Linked DNA regions of Caenorhabditis elegans. The protein of the gene in region 2 purifies or fractionates together with the protein of the main gene of each other region. This does not show direct contact. Each region holds a gene or a part of one and is shown on either strand. Other genes may lie near its edges. The genes, in order: snpc-3.4 and lin-13.

The links.
Region 1: the proteins of lin-13 (region 2) and snpc-3.4 fractionate together in Caenorhabditis elegans (co-fractionation; one large-scale study listed by BioGRID). This does not show direct contact.

What each region holds. Positions count from the first base shown.
Region 1 is NC_003281.10:4,010,982-4,022,383, reverse strand, and holds snpc-3.4 (snRNA-activating protein complex subunit 3), read right to left. Parts: upstream 2,348-11,402; 5' UTR 2,225-2,347; coding exon 2,122-2,224; intron 2,077-2,121; coding exon 1,938-2,076; intron 1,887-1,937; coding exon 1,782-1,886; intron 1,737-1,781; coding exon 1,625-1,736; intron 1,577-1,624; coding exon 1,391-1,576; intron 1,333-1,390; coding exon 1,175-1,332; intron 1,129-1,174; coding exon 862-1,128; intron 794-861; coding exon 607-793; 3' UTR 501-606; downstream 1-500. Other genes in the region: tftc-5 (General transcription factor 3C polypeptide 5), read right to left, coding at 1-72, 118-213; tbb-2 (Tubulin beta-2 chain), read left to right, coding at 4,762-4,927, 5,000-5,518, 5,596-6,069, 6,125-6,318; C36E8.4 (SH3 domain-containing protein), read right to left, coding at 6,643-6,786, 6,836-6,988, 7,365-7,499, 7,931-8,056, 8,152-8,292, 8,725-8,844, 8,891-9,407, 9,613-9,779 and 1 more.
Region 2 is NC_003281.10:7,702,855-7,714,918, forward strand, and holds the start of lin-13 (Zinc finger protein lin-13), read right to left. Parts: upstream 6,638-12,064; 5' UTR 6,619-6,637; coding exon 6,538-6,618; intron 6,495-6,537; coding exon 6,313-6,494; intron 5,632-6,312; coding exon 5,158-5,631; intron 5,114-5,157; coding exon 4,897-5,113; intron 4,850-4,896; coding exon 4,505-4,849; intron 4,452-4,504; coding exon 4,195-4,451; intron 4,158-4,194; exon of another isoform or gene 4,008-4,157; intron 3,940-4,007; coding exon 3,738-3,939; intron 3,691-3,737; coding exon 3,143-3,690; intron 3,094-3,142; coding exon 3,015-3,093; intron 2,963-3,014; coding exon 2,483-2,962; intron 2,381-2,482; coding exon 1,652-2,380; intron 1,606-1,651; coding exon 765-1,605; intron 548-764; coding exon 367-547; intron 318-366; coding exon 74-317; intron 27-73; coding exon 1-26. Other genes in the region: C03B8.3 (TMEM65 family protein), read left to right, coding at 9,513-9,520, 9,584-9,694, 9,757-9,887, 9,934-10,087. UniProt on the Caenorhabditis elegans protein: Involved in repression of vulval fate, possibly by a tumor suppressor protein Rb-mediated mechanism. May act in a common pathway with retinoblastoma-like protein homolog lin-35 and hpl-2 to influence the ER stress response in the intestine.

The DNA.
Region 1 (11,402 bases), 3.7 Mb from region 2:
ACTTAATTCCAGTGAATGATTATTGAAGTGAGATTGACTGATTAGTTGGAGACCGCCCATCGTTTGAAGTGCCTGAAAAGAGACAATTTATTTGCTGAATACCGTATGTATTCCAACCTTATCAACATTTTTGACAATTCCTGGATATTTGATTAGGACCAGCTGCTGCGGCTCCTCGCGTTTTTGTTGTGTGAAATTGAGAAAATCGTTCATTTTTCCTGAAATAAGTTGTTATTCTTTAAGGTGGTCTAAATATTTGATAAAGATTGCAAATATTCGAAATAAATTTAAACGGTTGAATTAATTTCGAATTGCCGCATAAGTTCCGAGTTGCGTATTGTGCGTCAAAACACGCTTCTTAATTTAATTATACGAGTAAAAGCGTGTTTCGACGCACAATACGTATACGCCTGTCGAGTGAATTCAATAGTTTTAAAAACTCAAATTTAAATATATAAAAATGGTTTACAAAACCAATCAGATGAAATCCAATTAAAAAAGAACAATAAAATTTTTAAATGTCCAGCATTTCCTTTTTTCTATAAAAAATACCAGTAAAAACATAAAGTTTTTGCAAAATAAATAGAAATAAATATCAAAATTATTTCAATCATCTTCTTGTTCAAAATCTCCAAACGGCCATCCTCTTTGCTCTCCAGTCTGTAGTTCTGTATACGGCCAAGCAATGAATGAATGCGTCTTGACACCATGCACATAGTTGAACTCCTGGAAGCATGTCCTGCAGAAGTGTGTGTAGGTGTTGGGAAGAAGCTCGTGGCGTTCGACGACGAATCTGGAAATGTAAAATTTTAAATTAATTTACTTTGAGGAAAAACAATAATTTTTGCGAATTAAACTTACTCCACATGCCCTTTTTTACAAATATCACATTTCTTTTCATTTCCCTTCTCGTATAAGGTGAATGGATATTTATCGATTCCCCACGGGTCCGATTCATGAAGAAGTCGCAAATCATGAAAAACGAGTAGATGTTCACAATTCCCAGAATGCTGGAATATGTACGGCTGCCCTAGACGCAGCTTCAGGTCAATAATTCTGACTCCTTCCATACTACAAGCCTCCACTGGATCATAAATCTCGCGGTGAAGCATAAAGTTGCGGATTGGGCTGAAAAATGTTTTTAAACATTTTTCTAAAGAAAATTACTAATTACTGTGAAATGTCAATTGCATTGGGTGGCATATCCACATAAAAGGTATCATGAACAAATATAAATGATGATGGAAATCGAACTGCGGTTGCATTATCCAAATTCGGTGGATCCAGCTCCAAACCATTCTCCAATGGAACAATTGTATCACTTTGACATACCTGAAAGTTTAAAAAAAATTAAATATTTAATGTGTGTTTTAAATTCAAAAAATCATACAAATTTCTGCCGTAAATCCGAAAGAAGGGTGTCTCCACGAACAAGAAACTTGGTCATTGGCTTCAAAAGTCGCGAGCTCCGAAGTTCAGAAGATAAAAGTTCTCGATTGTATGGCATCAGTGCATCAACGATAAGGACAATGTCATCTTCACATTTCTCTAATATTGAACATTGAGGATGGAAAAGCTGGAAAAATTATTTTATAAAGATTTTTATTTTTATTAATTAATTTACAGAAGTATTTGCTCCGGCGTTCAACATGTATTTGTCATATTTCAGTGACGTGACATATGCGGACTTCCGCTGCCTTGAAGTTTTCATAGTCTTTTCTCGACTTATCACATGTCTGAAAAATTATAGTTTTTGAATAAAAGGTTTAAATAATATTTACTTGTGGGAAACTAGCGGTGATCGTTCGAGGAACTTGCGATCCCCCTTCATATCTTCAAATCGTCGAGTTTGAACGTCTGATGACCCCTCCAGAAACATATCGAGGCTGAAAATCAATAAAATTAGTTGTTTTTCGATTTTTTGAAATTTACTTTACTTTGAAACTTCTTCAATAGCTTCCAATGATTCTTCTTCTGTTACTCCTTGAATATAAGACAGACTGTTCTTCCACATTTCCATTTCATGTTCTTTTTCGGTTTTTGAATCGAAATCGTCCATTGTTCTATCGATAATAACTGAAAATTCGACAATATTCGATTGTTTTAAGATAATAAACTAACCTTCTCCCAACTCTCGAACTTCCAGCATCTCTTCCTTCACTGTGGCTAAATTGAGCAGTGGAGAAATATACCATTGTTCATCAGAATTGAACTTTCTGTCCATTTATTTAAAAATTGAATTCAAACAGTTATACGGAGGAGAAAGTTGGATAAAAGAATTCGAAAAATTGCTTTTTCAAAAAAAAAAACAATTTTCTGGAGGGGTACGGTGTACAACGGTGTTTGCACAGTTTATTGTACACCGACGCGCAATAATGCACATTTGTGTGCGCGGGAAATTTTGTTGGGCGGCAAATTTTGAATTTTAGGCCTCGAACATTCCCTCTTTTTGTCATTCTCATCTTCATTCGCTACTTTTTTTTGCAATTTTTTGCCTAAAACGCTTTCAAGCTACTTCTGCATCGTTTCGCGCTTTAAATTTGCAAATGGTCTGTCCTAAAACGTTCTGCCCCTCATTTTAGCTTCCTTTTTCTGTTCCATTTCCTGTGAAAGGTGACTCATTCATAAACTATTCCCTTCTCAGCGGTTTAGGAGACTGGGGAAATTGTAATTTTGTAGTTTTATTCGTGATTGATGCATAAAATTGCATAAAATAGGCCGCCATAATCTTTCTTGAAGGTCAGCCACCGTGTTTATCTGATATATAATTATTATGTCCTTGCTGCGATCAGCTCAACCGGGCGCAATAGGCGGATACCATTCATCATTTTCGACATGTACAAGTACTTCTCGTGTAACATATTTGCACAGCTTGTCATGGTTTCTGGTTATTCGGGTCATTTTAGTATCTGTTCCATTATAATTTCCCCAAAAAACTGTTTGCTGTTTGTTTCTGTTCTTATCATTTCCCTAGATTGCGTGTTATCAGCTCAAATTCTTCTGTTGTTTCTACTTTTCGGCGCCGAATGAATCACAGAAATAGAATTTCTCTTTGCAACTGATTAATATTTTGAGTTCCACTTTTTCAGTTGGCTAGTTCCTTAACTTCGTAAGCCAGGCGCGTCGTCTTTTCAAATTGCTAGATGGATGGGCACATTTTTTGAAATGCCTCGCCTGTGGCGGGTTGGTAAGGGACACCGCTGTCGCCCGTTGGTCAAGGCCGTCACAAAGCATTCGCGTCCCTGTCCATCCGAAACATAGAGGGCGCGGAGAGAAAAACGACGGGAGAAGGGAGGGAAGCACGGGCGGCGCCAGTCTCTATGTTTCTCGCTTGGTATAATGTGTCTCATCGACAACGGAAAGTGGGGGTAAGAGTAGAGCTCTTTTTCGTCCCCAGCGCCGACACACGACCCTTAACTCGACTTTTTTCGTCAGTTATTTCTTGGAATTTTTTTTTGAAGCTTCCCGTTGATTTGGATTGTATTTTAAAATCGTTATCCAACCAGCAACTGATCTAGATAGTACCCATTAACATTGTCTCCTGGCGCGTGTACTACGGTAATTGACCTTTCTCTGACTGGCTGCATGTGTGACGAAGTATTGGCTGCATATGTATCGTATTGTATAGGCGACCCCAAGCCGATTGTCACTGCCACGTCATCTCCGTTTCTCTTTTCTCCGCAATTCTCAATTCACCACCACCGCAGCCGTCAACAGGGGTACGATTTCCATCGCATTGAACTAGTTTTTGTCCCTCGTTTTTCTTCACGGTTCGTCTTCATCTCTTTTATTCTGAAGGCTTTTCAAAGCTGCAGGCCCCCAGCACATTTCATTCGGTTCCCATAGGATTACTGCGCGCCAAGCGGCATCTCCCTCTCTACCCCAAACCAATAGCACCAAATTGCACCCGATGAAAAGCCATCTGTGTCGTGTGCTCTATCTCCTTCTGCCAAACCTAGTGGTGACACGCAAAACAAATGGATTAAGCAAAAAGAGAGGGAATTGATGGACATTTTGTGTATGTTTCGCAATAGATTTGCCTCTGCTCTCTTCCTCTTCACCCATTCTACCCATATCTGCATATTTCGCAATAGTCTATTCGATTTCACCACCCTTTGCAGTCCAACAACGACTGCTGCCCCAGTGGCCACTGCGGTTTTTAATGCGAGCGGGCGCCGCGCGCCCCGTGTTCTCGCGATTATCGATCCGAATGCACACAGCGTCGGACACAACTGCGCCCGACCCGCCTCTTCTTCGTCTCCATTCCATACATCCCAAGAGCTGCATGTCTGCTCCTACAACGTCCTTTTGTTTCCTTTTTGGGGTAGCGATTATGAAAAGTGGGCTCATTTTAGAGCAAATAGAAAGGTACTTGCGCTGAAATTTTTATCGAAAGTAGTTAATTTCGGAGTGCAATAAACTAGAATCAACCTATATAGAATAGAAAAGAATCACCAATTAAACATCTCTTATATTTTTCAAGGTAACCTTATTCAACCTTATTCCTAATTCGTCTTTTAATTTCTTATTTTCGCCGTGAATCATTTAATTTCAGAGCACAATAAACTAGAATCAAATCACCAATTAAACATCTCTCAAATTTCAATGTATTAAAAAAACTTACTCCTTTAATTTTAAATTTTTGCCGTGAATCATTGCTTTTCAATATCGACCATGACGTGTTCTCTTTCTTTTGTTATTTTCCTTCATCTTCTCTATCTAAATATAGTTTTTCAATTCATTACGACCTTTTCAGCAAAAATGAGAGAGATCGTCCACGTGCAAGCCGGACAATGCGGAAACCAAATCGGATCCAAATTCTGGGAGGTCATCTCCGACGAGCACGGAATCCAGCCAGACGGAACCTTCAAGGGAGAGACGGATCTCCAGCTTGAGCGCATTGACGTCTACTACAACGAAGCCAACAGTGAGTTTTTAAAATTTTCTGGAGATTTCGAAATCGTTTAGTTGGAATGATTAATTAATTAAATTTTTTCAGACGGAAAGTATGTGCCACGCGCCGTGTTGGTCGATCTCGAACCAGGAACCATGGATTCTGTCCGCTCTGGACCATTCGGCCAGCTGTTCCGTCCTGACAACTTTGTGTTCGGACAAAGCGGAGCCGGAAACAACTGGGCCAAGGGTCACTACACAGAAGGAGCTGAGCTTGTCGACAATGTGCTTGACGTGATCCGCAAGGAAGCCGAAGGATGCGATTGTCTTCAAGGATTCCAACTCACTCACTCTCTCGGAGGAGGAACCGGATCTGGAATGGGAACACTTCTCATCTCCAAAATCCGCGAAGAGTACCCAGACAGAATCATGAGCTCATTCTCGGTTGTACCATCGCCAAAGGTGTCCGACACAGTTGTAGAACCATACAATGCCACCCTCTCCGTCCACCAGCTTGTTGAGAACACCGATGAGACCTACTGCATTGACAACGAGGCCCTCTACGACATCTGCTACCGTACCCTCAAACTCACCAACCCAACCTACGGTGATTTGAACCATCTTGGTAAGTTATTATTTCTTGTTCAAGTTTAAGTTATGCACAAGTTACCCAAATTGAAACCTAATAATTACAATTTTCAGTATCCCTCACCATGTCCGGAGTTACCACCTGTCTCCGATTCCCAGGACAGCTCAATGCCGATCTCCGCAAGCTTGCCGTCAACATGGTTCCATTCCCACGTCTTCACTTCTTCATGCCAGGATTCGCACCACTTTCCGCCAAGGGAACCCAGGCTTACCGTGCCCTTACCGTCGCCGAGCTCACCCAACAAATGTTCGATGCCAAGAACATGATGGCTGCCTGTGACCCAAGACACGGACGTTACCTGACCGTGGCCGCTATGTTCCGTGGACGCATGTCGATGAGAGAGGTTGACGAGCAAATGCTCAACGTTCAGAACAAGAACTCGTCCTACTTCGTCGAATGGATCCCGAACAACGTCAAGACCGCCGTTTGTGACATCCCACCAAGAGGACTCAAGATGGCTGCCACCTTCGTTGGAAACTCGACCGCTATCCAAGAGCTTTTCAAGCGTATCTCAGAGCAGTTCACTGGTAAGAAATTTGAAACTATCATCCAGTATCAGTTTTAAAAACGTTATTTTTTCAGCTATGTTCCGCCGCAAGGCTTTCCTCCATTGGTACACTGGAGAAGGAATGGACGAGATGGAGTTCACCGAAGCCGAGAGCAACATGAACGATCTCATCTCAGAATACCAACAATACCAAGAAGCAACTGCCGAAGACGACGTCGACGGATACGCTGAGGGAGAAGCTGGAGAGACTTACGAATCGGAGCAATAAATGCAAGATCCTTTCAAGCATTCCCTTCTTCTCTATCACTCTTCTTTCTTTTTGTCAAAAAATTCTCTCGCTAATTTATTTGCTTTTTTAATGTTATTATTTTATGACTTTTTATAGTCACTGAAAAGTTTGCATCTGAGTGAAGTGAATGCTATCAAAATGTGATTCTGTCTGATGTACTTTCACAATCTCTCTTCAATTCCATTTTGAAGTGCTTTAAACCCGAAAGGTTGAGAAAAATGCGAGCGCTCAAATATTTGTATTGTGTTCGTTGAGTGACCCAACAAAAAGAGGAAACTTTATTGTGCCGCCAAGAAAAAAGTCTCATTGCCTAAGAGAAACATATGTGGTTGGAAATCTTCCAGATCGTGGATCAATTGAAGAATTGTCATGTTGGCTTATAACGTGCCCAATGAGCCAATCATCTCCTATTCGATCCTCGACAAGAACACATTGACCTTCTCTAATCTTAAAATAATTCAGATTTATAATATAGATCTCAATTAAATAGAGCCACCTCAATCTCGTCAGCATGCTTCGGCTCAAAATCATAAAGAACTCTACAAATTGTCGGTGGACTTGAAGTGGGCTCATCGAAAGTTGTAGTTGTTCGAATAGGACCACCATTTGATGATGTTGTTGTTGTTGAGTAGAAACCGTCGTCGGATATCTGAAGATTGAAAAATGATTACTACTTACATGGGTTTTTCGCGGCAGAAATACGGTACGCGGTCTCGATACGAAAAAGGGTGTTTAATTCGAAGAGGCGTGCGCCTTTAAATAGTACTGTAATTTAAAACTTATTGGTGTGGAATTTTTTATCGATTTTTGATTGAGATTTATTGAAAAACTATGAAAAGAAACAGAATTTATAATTAACAGTAATTTTTAAAGGCGCACGCCTCTTCGAATTTAACAACTGTTTTCGTTTCAAGATTGTATTTTAAGATTGTATAGAAGATTGTATTTTTGGCTTAAAATCGTAAGTTTTTGGTAATATTCGAAGTGAAAATAATTTTAAAATTCGTAATAAAAACTAAATATACCTTTTCATATTCTTCGTACTCTCCACTGCCACGTGGTGACGGATAAGCAGTTGATGCTTCCATTGATAGACAAGGTGGTGGAAGACTGTTATTATCACCGGATAATGGAATTGTGAGAATTGTCATTGGAAGACCCTGTAAAAATGTTTTATTAATATGTTATTCTTCGCCTGGTGCGGAATGGGTTTCGGTACGAAAAAAATTGAAAATTTTGTTTGGCGCCAATAATATGGTACCCGGTCTCGAAACGACACATTTATGTTCAATACAAAAAGCTGTGAACCATTGAAGTGTACTGTAATTAAACTTTTCTTGTTGCCGCATTTTCATCGATTTTTCATAGTTTTTGGAAGAAATAAAAGCTTGAAGCTACAGTACTCTTTAAAGACGCACTCATTCTTGTATTAAACACAAATTTGTCGTTACGAGACCGAGTACCGTTTTTTGTTGAAAAATCACAAAATGTCGTGTCTAAAGACTAGAATTGATAAATTGTTTTATTTTCTAATTTTTTTTCGAAAATCTCATAATTTTATTTGAGTTTTTAAAAATTGTAAAAAGCTTACCGATTTATCTTTAATCTTATGTTGAAACCTGGATAATCTGTGAAAACCTCGATTTTGACCTCCATCCACAATATTTATTGAATCATTCAACTTGTAGTACAGATATTCGATGAATTCCAAAACGCTCTGGAATTATTAGATATTCTGGTTTTTCCTATTGTTTTCAATTAAAAAAATGAAAATAGGCATAAAGTAGGCATGCATTCTTTCCAAAAACCCACAATTTGCTTTGAATTAGACACCATAACGTCAGCTGTCTGATTGTTGTAAAGTCTCTTCAATTCTGAATCCAATACTCCTGAAACTCGTTCAAGATTCTGACGGCGTCGTGTCGAAGACATGACTTCTCCGAAATTTTCAGCCTGAAAACGAAAAAGTAATATAAATTTATTTTTGAACAATTGCAATTTCGAAAAAAATGTTTTGGAAAAATGGCAAATTCAAAAATGTTAGAGTTTTTCAGTTAGAAGGTTATTATCCAGACGCAAAATGTTGCGATTTTTCCGCCAAAATACGGCTACTGGAGAAATTTTTGTTAATAGAGAAAAAGTGTGTGTCTTCAAAGAATACTTGAGTTTCTGTGGAGTTGTATATTATTAGATAGATTTAGATTTTCTGTTTAGATAGATCTTTGATAAACTTAAATATAACAATAAAAACACATAAAGTTTCAACAAATCGTGAGAAAAAACTACAGTACTATTTAAAGGCGCACACCTTTTCGGCCGCCGATTTTTTCTTCTACCACGGTTGCTCCGTGCTCTAGGAAAGTAATTCCCGTAGAAAAGACTTACATGAAGATCAATCAGGGTAATATGATTGACAGCTGAAGTTGATGGTTGAATAGTTTGAATATAATCCTCCGGAACAGAATCTACCGCAAGTTCAAGATTATTCGAATGCCTTTCAAACATCTGAAAATAAAATATTGACTAATTTCAAAATTTCACTTTCCCTAACTTGTCTCAAATTCGGTCCCAACGTCTCAATCTTTCTCTTATACCGTCCCAATGCAGTTTGACAATGAGCTAATCTCTGTCTCTCCACTGATTCCATACTCTCTACACCTTTTCGTAACACATTTTCAGTCATTCTTCTCTGCTTTTCCAGATCAACAGTCTGCCATACATAATCATCTTCACTTCGAATCATCTGATCTTTGTACTTTTTCCGGCGAAGTGCAAACTTCTCCGGTTGAGCTTTTTCTCGTTCAGCCGAGTTTTCAGTCTTTTCAAGCTCTTTCGCCAACACGTACAGACTTCGTTTCATTTTTTGAGTTTCATCTTTCTTATCCTTCAATTTTCGAATTTCTCGCTCTACGAAATTGTCGGCTGCTCGAATAGTTTTTTGCTGATTTGATTGAATTGATCTAAGAGGTTGTATGATATCTTCAGTGATTGCAGATCCTAAGTTACTGTGAATAGTAGCATGAATATCAAATTGTTCTGCCACATTTGTCCAGCCTTTATCGATACCTCTGAAATAAGATATTTTGCAAATTTTTGAATGTATGTATGCCCCTTTAAAATATAGTCTTTTTTTAAAGACACACTATAGTTTCCATCAATTTTTTTGAAAAATTGTTAAATTCTGAATTACCAAATTAAAAAAATCAAATCCTTGACTTTCTCGCCAAAATATTTTGAACAAATTATGCAATTTTGAATTTAGCATCTACTCACGATTCAACGCTTTGTGTCAATTTATGCAACCGAATTGATATCTTTTTCAATGTTTTCGAATAATGAAAATCAAGCGCTGCTTTCTCTTCAAAAGCAGTCACAACTTCGGCAAGTAACTCGTTATTGTTGCGAATCAGGTCTCGTAGTTGCCGGAAATTGCTCGGTGTCTGCAAAGAAATTTTGATGTTGGCAGGTGGCTTGTTTGATTTTCTAAGAGCATTGCATACACAAATAATTGAAACACGGTAAATAATTCATGTGATCTTTCGAGGAAAAAAACTTACAGCAAACTTATCTACTAATGTAGTATTTGACATAGTTGGCAAGTCAACAAGTCCATTAAGACTATTCTGTCGGCTCAATGAGCTGTTCAACTGAAATACACTGCGGGATATACTCCGGCGAAGTTTTGACATTCGGGAGTTCATTTTGATGGCTGGAATGAAAATTATAAACGTTTTCAGGTAATCTAGTTGAGACAAAAGGTAATTCAAGTAGGTATAAAGTAGGTGGCAAATGAGTAGGAATATAGCCAAGTAGGCAGGCGTGTAGGCATAAATCCTTGCCTACCTTACTATTACTTAAAAGTACAACAAAGACAAAATAATTCTTGGTTATAATTTTTCAATTTTCACAAAAAAAAAAGAAAACACCTACGAAGAATTTTGTGTCAAATAAACTGAAACCTTTTCAAAAAGCATGGTTCAATAAACTCTCCGAGCAAAAATATTGAACCGGAAACAACTTTTTTCTCAGGAACTTCTCGAAAACAGCAAGCTTTTTCTTAGATCGAATTTTAGTGCATTACTTTACACAACGTATAGGTTTTCATAGGCCCTTTCACTCTGGGACACCTGCTAGATGTTGTTAGTCACCAGTAAAGAATGAGGGCTTTTTTGCAAAAAAAATTATAGGAAAGCAGAAAAAGCAGAAAAATGTGAACATTAAAATTTATATGATGAGTTCAATTCAAAATCTGTCTTCAAGGCGTCTGATTTGTACATAAGAACTTTCAAATGAAGAAAAAAAAAGGAAATATGCAAGTAGGTAGGCATGAAAAATTACATGCCTACGGAAAGCGATAAAATCATTGACAGGAAAAATTAATTTGAACAGAAGAAAATTGGTCATCGGAGGTCATCACTATCGCAAGTTTAAATCGATTAAGGTCACATTGGAGAGGGATGATGAATTGTTGAAAAATAGAAAAATAGATTGTAAATTTGGAAATAAATTAGAGAAAAATTGTTATTAATGAGGATTGAACATTAGATAGCGGAATTACTGTATATTCCTTATTGCATTCCTTTCTCAACTTTGACAGCACATAATTTAATTGCTTTTTAACTTATCAAAAAAATTTTAACTACAAAAAAATAGAAAAATAGTTAATACGTATTTTTTAGTTAGCAATTATTTGAAAAAACCAATAGAAACTGAGATATGTATACACTGTCAAAATTTCTAAAAGTAAAATCAATAAATGAATATTTTCAAAACCAAAAAATGGGCACGTCGTGGGCAGTTAGAATGAGTCAGCTGGAAAAAATCGGAAATTCAATTCTTATCATTTAGTTCTGCATTTTTTTTTGTGATAAAATTGGAAACAATAAAGTCACAGGTAGGGAGTAGAATTGTGATGGATGCGATATGACATGTTTGTTCACTCGAATAAAAGTAACCAAACATATAATATTTGATATTAAAAATTATTTAAAGTAAATATCCTGCTTGTATATTTGTCATTTTTGAGTTTATCAAAAAATGTTTAACTTTGAAAATATAGGTAA
Region 2 (12,064 bases):
GTAAGACAAGTGTCTCCGTGAATAGCCTGAGAAAGTGCTTTTACAACCAGGAAATTAATTTCAAGTCACAAACCATATGTTTCTGATATTTTGGTTGATTCTCAAACACTACACAACAATTTCTGCACAGCCACGACGCTTTTGTCACGACAGGAATTCCATAAGTTTCGGTGCACAATTGTGCTCCTGCATCTTGTCGGTGATCTCTCATATGTGACTCGAGAGAACCGTTCGTATAGAATGCCAGTGAACATTTTTGACATTTGAACTTCTTTTCACGTCCAGCAGAAATGCTGGATGGTAGCGTTCCGGTTGAGCTGAAATTATTTGTTTTCTCAAATTCATTTTTAATAAGTTCCAACTCACTTTTCAACCTCAGCAACTACTGCCAACTCATCATCACCATTCTCATCAACCACCTCCTTGACAACTGGCTCACCATAAGGTGATTTTCCTCCTTGTGCAACCTCCAAATCAGTATCATCTTCATCCACGTAACCTGGTTGTTGGGCACCTCCGTATCCAGCTTGACTTGTTTCCACGCGAACTGAAAAATTAAAATTCAACTTGTTTTTCTTAACCATTCATCTTTAAACTTTTACCTGGTCGAAATCTTTTTTCGATTAGAATTTTAGAAAATAATTGTCTTGTTGCTTGAAATTTATCATTAATTTCAAATGACATTATTCAAGTATGTATATGTTGAGAAATGCGAAAATTGAAACTATATAAATAATTTAAAATAAAATTTAAAGTTCACGTACCTTCACAATTTATTGAACTCTCTGGATTAGGAGTTGAAGTGCTACTTCCTTGCGCAACTCCATTTGGTACAGCCTTCTCAAACACAACGCAATCATCATCTTCATCATCGCTGAGCATTATGACGTCACTAGATGACGGTTCGTTCATTCTGGTTGTCACATTTACAACTTTTTGTAATCCACCGCTTCTTGAATCAGAAGCCACTCCTTCAAGAGCTTCCAGCAATGTGCGCGGAGCTTGTGCGTAACTTTTATGACACGACGGAGACACGGTTCCCATGTTGCACATAAGATAATTCATTTGACTACGATCGACATCTTGATAGGATGCTGGTACTGGACCACCTTCAATAAAACGCATGTATCCGCTGTTGTGCTTCGGGAACAGGCACTTCATCAGAATGAAAAGCTTCTTTGTTTGCTCTTTCGGACATCCAGATCTCATATGAGTTTTTCTATGCTTGACCATTCCGTCTTGTGATGGTGCATCGTACGAGCAAAGCTGACACTTGTTTCTAAGAATGTGCACCGAATCAAAATGATCGCAAAACTCGATGGGTGAGTTGAAAAACTTGTTAGGACTGCAAGTACATGAATAGACTCGCCCACCGCCGCTTGCACATTCGTGTTCGTAGTACTCTCCAACACTGACGAAGACTTTGATACAGTATGCACATTGGAAGCGTCGAAGTGTGAGAGCATGTGAACGTTGAATATGAACTCGATTTGCAAGTGGATCATTGGATTTTACCCCGCAAATGGTGCATCGTGATACACGTTTGCATCGGAATAAAATATGGGATGACATAAATCGGTGATGTTCTTGACAGAATGCGCAGCACTGAAAATATTTAATTTAAAACGAACACAAAAAATGAATTTCTTACAGCTTGTCCAGATATCTGCACCACATGTTCTTGAATCAAATGTTTCTGAAGATCGAAATGTGTCGGAGTATTCGCAGCACAGAACGGGCAGTTAGCCCATTTTTCTGGATGATCGTCCATGTGATGCGTGAGCTCATCGTACGAGTCGAACGTCAGTTCGCACATGTAGCACATTAATCGAGGATCAATATTCTTATCTTTTGGAGGACATACAGTAAATGATCCCATAGGTGGATCTCTTGCTGGAAGTCGATTCAATTCAACACCATGAATTGGCAATGCACTGATTTTAACTTGTTTCAATCGATAATCCGGGCTTCTTGGATCAACAACAGATTGCTCGATGGCTCTCAATGATTCATAGCTACGACCATATCCTCCATTCTCTCCATGATTATATCGAATTCCTACATCTCTTGCTGGTGGAAGAAGTTCTCCAGTTGCAAGAACATATTCAATCGTTGAAAAATGTCGATTTAGCATGTGCACAAAAATACGTTCAACTTGATGAATCTCCGGACAAGAAGGGCATTGCCCGCAGAGTGTTGCTCCTCGTCCTTTTATTTCAGCGAATAGTCTGGAGCACACATGGGTCCTTCGTGTATTTTGACTGGAAAATGCTTTTCCACATGATGGGCAAGGATGGGTATGGAAGCGTGTGAGATGATCGACGAACTGGTTGAGGCTTTCATATTCCCGATCACACCACGAACAAGAGTACCAACGAGACTGAAACATTATAAGATTTTTTAATACGAATTGGTGAAAATTTGGTATACAAACAACTATTAATGAATTCAAACGCCTTGAGTATGAAGAATATCAACTTACAGTTCTCGGAACTTTATACGGTTTGATACGTTGTCCTGGTCGGATTGCAGGTGTAAGTGTATATGGACGCATAAGTTCATTGGGTGCAATAATATCTGGTCGTACCAAACTGTACGCAGGTTTGATTTGTTGTGGCTGCTGCCTGATCGGCATGGGACGTGGTTGATCTTTCGCCTCCAATAATCCAGAAAATGGCATGAAGCATTCAATATCGGTGAATCGAGCAAGATATGTTCTTTCGTCGAATTGTAATTGAGTGAAATGTTTTGCCATCAACATAAGCGATCGATCAAATCGATTTTCAGAGAAATTATCGAGTTCACCGGAAACTAATTCAAGCGTTGCTTGCTTGGAATGTACATCACTGAGATGAGTTTTCAAGGATATCACGGAGCATAGGTGAGCTTTGCATTCGGGATCGATGCACCGAACACCTGCGTGTGGACCAGATGCAGCATGATAAACTTCGATAAGATCGTCCTGAAAATATTCATATCCATAACATACTTTATATAAAAATAAAAATTCATACCTCTGTAACTTCGCAGCTCAAGCAATGTACTACTGGATCTTTGGAGAAAATATAGTTGCATTTGGTACAGAAGTAGAAGCTGAAAATGTTAACGATAATTGATAATAACGCAGAATAGATTCTCTTACATTTTGTTAACCAGCAGCAAGTCCTTCAATGGGTCTATACAATTCGATGCAGGAAGTGATATAGTTCGAATGCAACTCATTGCAATATCGTCCGCTAGGGTACTTTGGATTGAATTCAGATGCACCATGCGAGATTCCTCTAGTATTCTCAGCGCTTCTTCAGGATCAAGAAGACGTTCTCTGGACAATAAAACGTGCTTCTTGTATACTTTTTCAATTCGTTTTCTAGCCTCCTTTTCCGATTCGGGCCGCTCGAAAAACTTATTTCTATTAATATGTTCATATCCCAAATCTCCACGAATCTTGATATTTCTTTTCTTCTTTTGTTTGCTTGATGTGAAATCATCACTATCGGAATCAGAATCAGAAGAAGACGAAGATTGATTATCTTGTTCTAGAAGACTTTTCTGAAAATCTTCTTCACCAGAGGACTCTCCCGGTTCGTATGAAAATTCCTTCTCGTTACTATCAGTAATATTACGATTTTCCTTCTTAGTTTTTGCATGCTTCCACCGAAGTAGTTTTTTGCGGATAGTGTACTCATCTGGCTGAAATTTGAATATTTTAGAACTTGAAATGCTTCACTGCACTCTACCTCTACAAATTCACTTTTTTTGTTTTCTGATGCTTCAAGAGCTTGTACTTCTCCGCTAGTGAGTCCTCCGATCGCAGGAATACTCGATCCAAAACCGACATATGGCAAACGTCCAGAACTCGGTGGTGGTTGGTAAGTAGCCGACATTTGTAAATAGTTGGCGAACTGTGCGGTTTGAGTTGTATGTGATTGCGCGTGATGTCTAAAATTTGAAGAAATAAAGAAAAAAGTTTCGAAGCAATTAAAAATAAATATCTTTAAATTGTATTTGTTGTCTGAGTGTCTAAGACCAAAAATTTCATTAAAAAAACATTTTTGGAAAGTAACACTCTGCTTTTATAATTCGCTTCGCGTTTATATTCCACAGTTCTATAATCATCTTATCAATAATTTTCATAAGATTAACTTGAATAGTGGTTGAAACTTCATGAACTATTTTTTTCTAATGAAAACTCACTTCAACATAAACTCGGTTCCAAATGTTTTTCCGCATTTTATACAGGTATGATTAGCCTCGTGTTTTTCTTTGAAATGCTCTTCGATTTCAACAACAGAATGAAATTCTTCAATGTTACATTCAGAACAACTCAGCGGAAGTCCAATGTTTAGTTCAGACATCACTTGAAATTGAATTCGTATTCCTTTCCCTTCATCTTTCAACGGTTTTGGGAAGTAAGCAACGACCGGAACCAACGGTTGACAAGAATGGTTCATCTGTAAAAATAATTGTAATCAGAGAAAAAAATGTATAATCACTCATGACTCACCAATGCAGTTGCAAAATACGTCCATCCTTTCTTTCCTTCGCCTGATGGTTTTACCGACAGCCACAATCCGCACTGAGAACAGCAGAGGTACATGTACGCGGCTTCAAGATGTAAAGTTTGCTGTTTGAAAGTTAATTGACGCAGGTACTCCGCAAACTCTTTGCAATCGTGTTTAGTTAATTCATATCGAGACGGATAAACTCTGTAACAGATATCACATCCGAAAAGGTGAACCACGTCATGATGTCCTAGGTAGTGTTCAATAGTTTCACACATATTTAAGAACAATGGCTGATTTTCACAGCAATTTGGGCGAACAGTTGTCCCGCGCGCAATCGGACTTGGCTGGAAAACTTTTGATTTAGATAAATATCAACAACCGTAAATTTTACCGGATGACGCGGGTCCGTGACCGAGATTTCGGAAAGCGGCATCGGCATATTTTGAACAAAAAGTCTTGAATCGAACACATCCTTCCTTGCAGCATACTCCCAATCACGACGAAACGTTGGAGGCATTGCATTGTATACATGACGAATACTTTTCAATAGGATTTCGTCATGATCTTCATTATTTGCCCCAACGATACAAAGTTTATCGACAGTTTGCCTGAATTTTAAATTGAGAATCTGAACGTTGCTTTAGAAACTAACATTATCGAAAAAATCTGGTTATCACTGAGCCATGCACAAAACCGTCGAAATCCTCCAGAAGCCCTCCGTACAGCAGGTTGTGAATCTAGTCGGAATCCAATTACTCGTTCACCTTCTGCTCGCGCATCTTCTGCTAATGGGACAATCGTTTTAAACACATCTTCTTGTTTTGGAGGTCTTGAATATTGACTAGCATAGGTTGGTAAACCCGGAACTTGAAATTGACGGGATGCGCCTTTTGCATTAGGTTTCTTCTTTCGGCCAGAATTACCCTCATTTTCTTCCATATAATTTTCGTCCAGCTCATCTCGTGTTCTTTTCGGCTTTTTCCGGTTCCCTCGGCTTCCAAAATCGGTAACCAGTGACTGAGCTTGAGCTTCGTCACCTCGTTCAATACTCGCGTAGTTTACTGATCTACGGGGTCGGGAAGAGTGTCCAAATGTGGATAACGGAGCTTTCGATTCAAGAGGATCTCTGAAATATTCAATGTAAGTGTAAATATAATTCCTTTTTGATTTATGGTAATGAAAAAATAAAAATTTAACCAGGTATTTAGATTTCGTTCAGTTAAATGAAAACTCGGTGAAACTCAGTCTAAATTGAATTTAAAAAATTACCTGATGCAAGAAAAATGTGAGGCCCCACGAAAAGGGGAGCAGAACGAAAAGGGGATCTGCAAAAAGGGGATCTGCGAAAAGGGGAGATACGAAAAGGGGAGCTGGCACTGTGCCAAACGCACAAAACGCTTTTTTTATTCTCATTCAACGCACGCATTATTTGTGTATTTTACGCTAAACAACGCGCGATGCGTAATAACGGAGTGTGGTTATAACAAAGTCGTGCGTTGAATGAGAATAAAAAAGCGTTTTGTGCGTTTGGCACTGTGCCAGCTCCCCTTTTCGTTGCTCCCCTTTTCGTATCTCCCCTTTTCGTATCTCCCCTTTTCGCAGATCCCCTTTTTGCAGATCCCCTTTTCGTTCTGCTCCCCTTTTCGTGGGGCCTCAAAAATGTGAATTGCGAATGAGGAAAGTGCGCTCTAGTGGCACAAATTTAAATAAATTCGCACAAATTTAGCAATTTTAACAAATGTTTGACTGTGAATGCTTTCTAAGTGCATTTTTGAAAGTTTCCTTGAATAACTTAAACTTAACCTACTTTTTATATTCTTCTGATCCTCTCTTCCTCTTGACAGCAGGCTCTTTCATATCCTTTTGCATAAAATCAGCAAGCCGTTGTGCCTCCTCTTCTTCTCTCTGTTTGGCAGCTGCTATCTCATGACTGAGATCAGATAATCCTGTACGCAGTGGAGCGCTTTGATTGTTATTCGCTTGCTGAAACTTTCTCTGGGGTAATTTAAACAACTTGATTACTGATTCTCACCTCATCTGGAACTTCTGGCTCCTCCGTTTTAACGAGTGGGGCTGTTTGGTTGAGCTGTTGAAACAGCTCAAACTCATCCATAGTTGTTATTTGGAGAGCTGAAATTTTTTTTGAAAAAGGCAACAGAAAAAAATGAGAGAACTGAACGAAAAGAATGACTGGAGATAAGCTTTATCTCAAAAAAAAACTAAAATATCAATCTACATGAACTTCCAGTTTGAATCAAAGATAATTATTCAAGAATCTATCATATGTTCTCGAAATTAATTTACGCCTAACTTGCGTATTTTTAAACGTTTGTTCGGTTTTTTACGATGTATAGTGAATACCAGTAACTTAATTGTTTCAAATTTGCGCGTGAAATATACTGCAATTCGTTGGCTAACCTCACTACTATGATACAAATTTTATACGGGGCGCGGTTATGTGGGCGTGTCCGACCCATTGAACACACTTATAAGAACTCTTTAAAATGTTTAGGTTTTTTATTAGATAAGTTTATTTCATTGGAGGTCTAATGATTTCAAAAAACCGAACTCTGAACTTTCGTGAGCCCTTTCCCACTAATTACTGATCTCGACACGACTACACGCAGAATCAGCGCACATCCTGTCATACTTCAAACTCAATATATTTTAAAACCCCCGAAAAAATAATATTCTCATTTAAAAAAGCAAAATCCGGAAACGTGTTACGGAATCGACAAAAATTTTGAAACTGCGACAAAAATTTTTACCGATCTTTTGGCGCGCATTGGAATTGAGAATTTGAAGGCTGTGTCATATAGAAAGTACCGCAGAGCGTATATGCCACTCTGCGTCTCTCATATTTATTGGTCAGACGGACAAACGATGGTAGGAAGACTATGAGCAGCGGAGAGGGCGCAGAGAAACGAGACCTATTTCTTTGCCCTGCTGCAGTGTCTACTGCAACGGGGCTAGCAAGGACGAATCGATTGGAGAAAAAAGAAAAGTGAATGGGTTTTGCCCAAAGTGTTTGCGTACATTACGGCGCTATATTTGACGACAGTTTGAAATATTTAAAAATTTAGCTGTGCAACTACAGTAATCCACGGAAACAAATTCAAAAAGGACTGGGGTCTAAAACGGTCAGATGATTCAAAATAAAGAAGGGTATCTGTAAATGGATACTGTACACTGAAAATAATAAAATGTTCTGTCGCGTAAGTACAGACCCCAAAAATTAGGCAGAACTTTCGAAAACTGTGCAAACACACCAACCAGTTTTATTATCGTAATTTCGCAACAAATTTCACTCGTCAGTTTAAAGGCACACGTTGTTTTTCTGAGCGGGTCTCGCCACGATCACAGTCATAGTGATCGCTACAGGTGCCACATTTTTCAGATTTATTCATTTGAAAAAAGTACATTGTTAAATTCTATAGATTTGAACAGTATACAGCTCCGAAATTAGAAAACAGCTAAAGTGGAAATTCGAGCAAGCCCACATTTGAACCCAATGAGCAGGAAAAATAAAATAAAAGCAAGAAAACTTAAAGAAGCGCTCAGTCAAGAACTCTGCAACTATAGTGTGGTCTTGCAGCGATAATTTTACTGTACTCTAAACTATATTTATTTTCTCTAGAAAACAAAATAATATTCAAAAACACACTACACATTTTTCCGGTCCCGTGTGTGTTAATGTTCACCACGGCGCACAATTGCGGACACTTCGCGGCGGTCAATACAATTTTAGGCCACTGCAGGGAAGAGAGAAAGTGGGCGGCGGCAGCCCGCGTAAATAACCAGCCACACACGAAACGAGACTGAATAAATGAAAAACCGCGACGCAGCCGCTGTGCACGATTTCTCGTTTGGGATACCTTCAGAAAATTTACAAAAGTGAGGAACGGGTGGCGTGACCGCGACGCGACCGCAACGCAGAATCAATAACTCCAAAATAGGATTAAAGTTTAAAAATCAGTCAATAAATAACTTTGAGAAGAGAAATTAGGATAGAATTAAGATTCGATATTGATTTGAAAAGTTAATACTGGGCTTAGGAAAAGTTAATACTGGAACTTTGCAATATAAATTAATTTGTAGTGTTACTAAAAGAATTTTAATTTTGAAATTTTAGAAAAAATTAGAAGAACAATAATCAAAAAACTAAACTTTTGGATTTACTGAAAACATTTGAAAAGGGAAATGTAAATAACTGTAGAAACAGGAAAATGTCGAGCAATGCGAATTTCGGTAGAGCGCACTTCCATAATTCGAAAACCGCAACGCGCACGCAACGCACAGGATTTACGGAAACAGGAAAGGAGGAACCAAAAATTCGGTTTCGCGCACGCTTATTTCGCAACCCTCGCGCGTTTTTTTTTCACAGCAAGGTTAGAACATTTTAAGAAAAAAAGCATGCGGGGGTTATGAAAACACACTACCGAAAATAAATAGAATGAATTTCGAAAATTATTTTCACCGATATCATTTGCTACAGCTGTTGAAGCTTCAACTATGAGTACAGTTATGCGGAAAAATACTTTTTAAAAATTAATTTTTGGGACTACAAAGTCTGTATTTTAAACTACCATTGGTACGATGCGGTGCGAATCGGGAGGTGGTCTTCATTAGAGCGCGATTGTTAATTCAACCGCGACGTGCACGCGACGCTCTCAAAAAATGTTCAAAATTTGAAAATAAGAGAGAAAAAAACACGCCAGCTGACAACTGCGTCAGCAAAACTGGTCTTGGTTCACATTGGCAGTGCGTACAACACACCTTATCTTACGCGCAAGTTGGATATGATTTTCCAGGCGAGACCCGACTGAAGATGTACGCTCACGCGAAAAATACGGATTTTATTTGTTTTGATAACTTCGGATGGAAAAAAAAGAAAAAAACCAATTTTGTTAAATTGTAAAAATAGTTAGTATAAAACGCGTAACGATAATTCATTTCTCATTTTTTTCAATTTACAACTACTTGTTTCAAGGCTAGCAAAGATACCGTATGGATAGGTGAGTATCGATAGAATTTCTCGAGTTAAAAAAATTAGTTTAAAAAAATTTAACTTTTATCAGATCAATAGCAAAAATGTTATCAAACCAACAGATTCGCAATTTTTCACGCGGAGTTGGTCACTTACGTAGAAGAGCTGCAAAAAATAACGTGATAAAAGTTAGGCCTGAAGAGTAAGTCTAAATCATTTACCCAATTCTTGTAACTTTCCTGAAAGTCCTATTTGAAAGTTTAGGCTCCGCCCATTTTTCAATCAATATTCTGTTCTTCCGAATGGAATACAAAACGATGCAGATGCAAAGCTTTTTTCCAAGGAGCTCCAACCGGGAGAACGGAAACTTTTATTTGATGCTTTGAGAAAGATCAGTGAGTTCTTGCTAAGCAGCTACCTTAAAATAAAAAAATCTTACAGCCGCCGATCAGTATAATGATCACAAAAAGGTGGTAGAAGTTACTATTGATCATGAAGATTTAGTAAAAGTCTGGTATATAAATTTCATTCCAATGTTCGTTTACGGATGTCTCGATGAAGCATTTTTAATCATTGGCGGTGAAAGCATCAACAAGTAAGCTCGCAGAAAAAAATTTCGACCACGGCAGGATTCGAACCTGCAATCTTCTGCTCCGTAGGCAGACGCGTCACAGGTAAAGCGCGACAGGTTAGTGGCAGCTGAATGGCAGGTTAAAAGCCGCCAGCAGGTTAGTGTCAGCTTAGTATCAGGCTAAAAGTCGCTGTCGGACTAAGAGCAGGTTAGTGTCAGCTTAGTATCAGGCTAAAAGTCGCTGTCGGACTAAGAGCAGGTTAGTGTCAGCTTAGTGATTTTCGCTCAAATTTTCAGAAAAGCGCGTCAGGTGAACGGCGAGTAAGTGTCAGGTGATGGGTCAGACGAGTGAAAATGGAAGTTTCAGAAACTGAGTGAAAGTTCATAAAAATGAGTTATATGTTCATTCGTGTAAATTTCTGAAAATATAATTTCCAGAAATACAGATTCGGGGTTACCGCACCGGATCATGAACCGCGTCAGGCGAGTGTCAGGTTAAGAGCAGGCTAAGAACCGGCAAATGGTAACTGGCAGGTTACTGTCAGGCAAAGTTTTCTTGGCTCAAAAACATTTTTCAGTACGATCTGTTACGTTTTAGGGAAATTTTCGAAAAGTAAAAAATGTCTGAAAATAAATATTTCCAGAAATACAGTTTTTTGGTTACCGCACCGAATAATGAACCGCGTCAGGCGAGTGTCAGGTTAGGAGCAGGCTAAGAGCCGGCAAATGCCAACTGACAGGTTACTGTCAGGCAAAGTTTTGACTGAAACACCAATAATGAATGGATAAAACTGAATGTTAAAAAATATTTTGCTTGGGTAGGAAATGTTTATTTTAGTATTTTCCAAAGTTTTCATGGCTCAATCACACTCCTGACCAAAAAAATATCACTGTCAATTTGGCGTGTTCATAGAAAGTCAGTACTTCCAAATCCGAAGGTCCCCCCTTATGAAAATTTTCTAAAAAATTTTTTCGAAATTTTTTTTTGAAAACTTTTCATAATTTGATCAGATGTTATAGAAAAATGTAAAATTAATTGTTTTTTTCAGCTTCGATGTTCTGAACACGAGTTCAAACAAAAACCTGAGGTATTGTAGAACTCCAACTACAAAGTTGTTTATTTTAATCTAAAGTACAATTTTGTAGTTGAGGATATTTCATCAAAAAATTTCATGGTCGAGATAAAGTTGTGTGAAATGCAGCAACTTCATGCTTGTATTTTCTTCTTCTTTTTCTGTTTGTATCTCGGCCATCAAATTTTTTGATAAAAAACGATTAACTGCAAAATTGTACTTTATATTAAGATAAACAACTTTGTAGTTGATCACTTTGTCATAAAAAATTATTACACGGAGATATCAGCATCCGAAGTGAGTGCGTTTTTTGAACTTAGGAGTTCTACAATACCTCAGGCTTTTGTTTGAACTCGTGTTCAGAACATCGAAGCTAAAAAAACAATTAATTTTACATTTTTCTATAACATTTGATGAAATTATTAAAATTTTCAAAAATTTTTAAATTTTTTTTTGAAAACTTTTCATAAGGGGGGACCCTTTGGATTTTTTTTCAAGAAAATCCAAAAAAAAAATGTTTTTTCAAAAGTTGTCAAATATTTATCAGATATGGTAAAAATATGTTTTCCTAACTGCATCTATGTACTTTCTTGCAAAATGTGGTGCTTTCGAAAACTAAGAAACTGTAAAAACCTCTATTCCTCTAACTCATCTACCTACTATGCCAGTCATTCGAAGTCATGTCCCACATCGGGCAAGCAAGATATCAAAAAACTGTCAACTACAAACTTGATCAGGTTGTTATGGAACATGTTTCATGTTTCATAGTTTCTTGCTTTCTGTGCAGAGTACGGAGATATCATAAGTCAAAAAATAGTAATATTTGATTCATAATTAGGTGCTCCTACCTGCTCAGCCATCCGAGATCGCAAAAAGTTACAATAAGTAATTTGTCAATCCCGTTATTCCTAACAACTTTTTAGTTGAC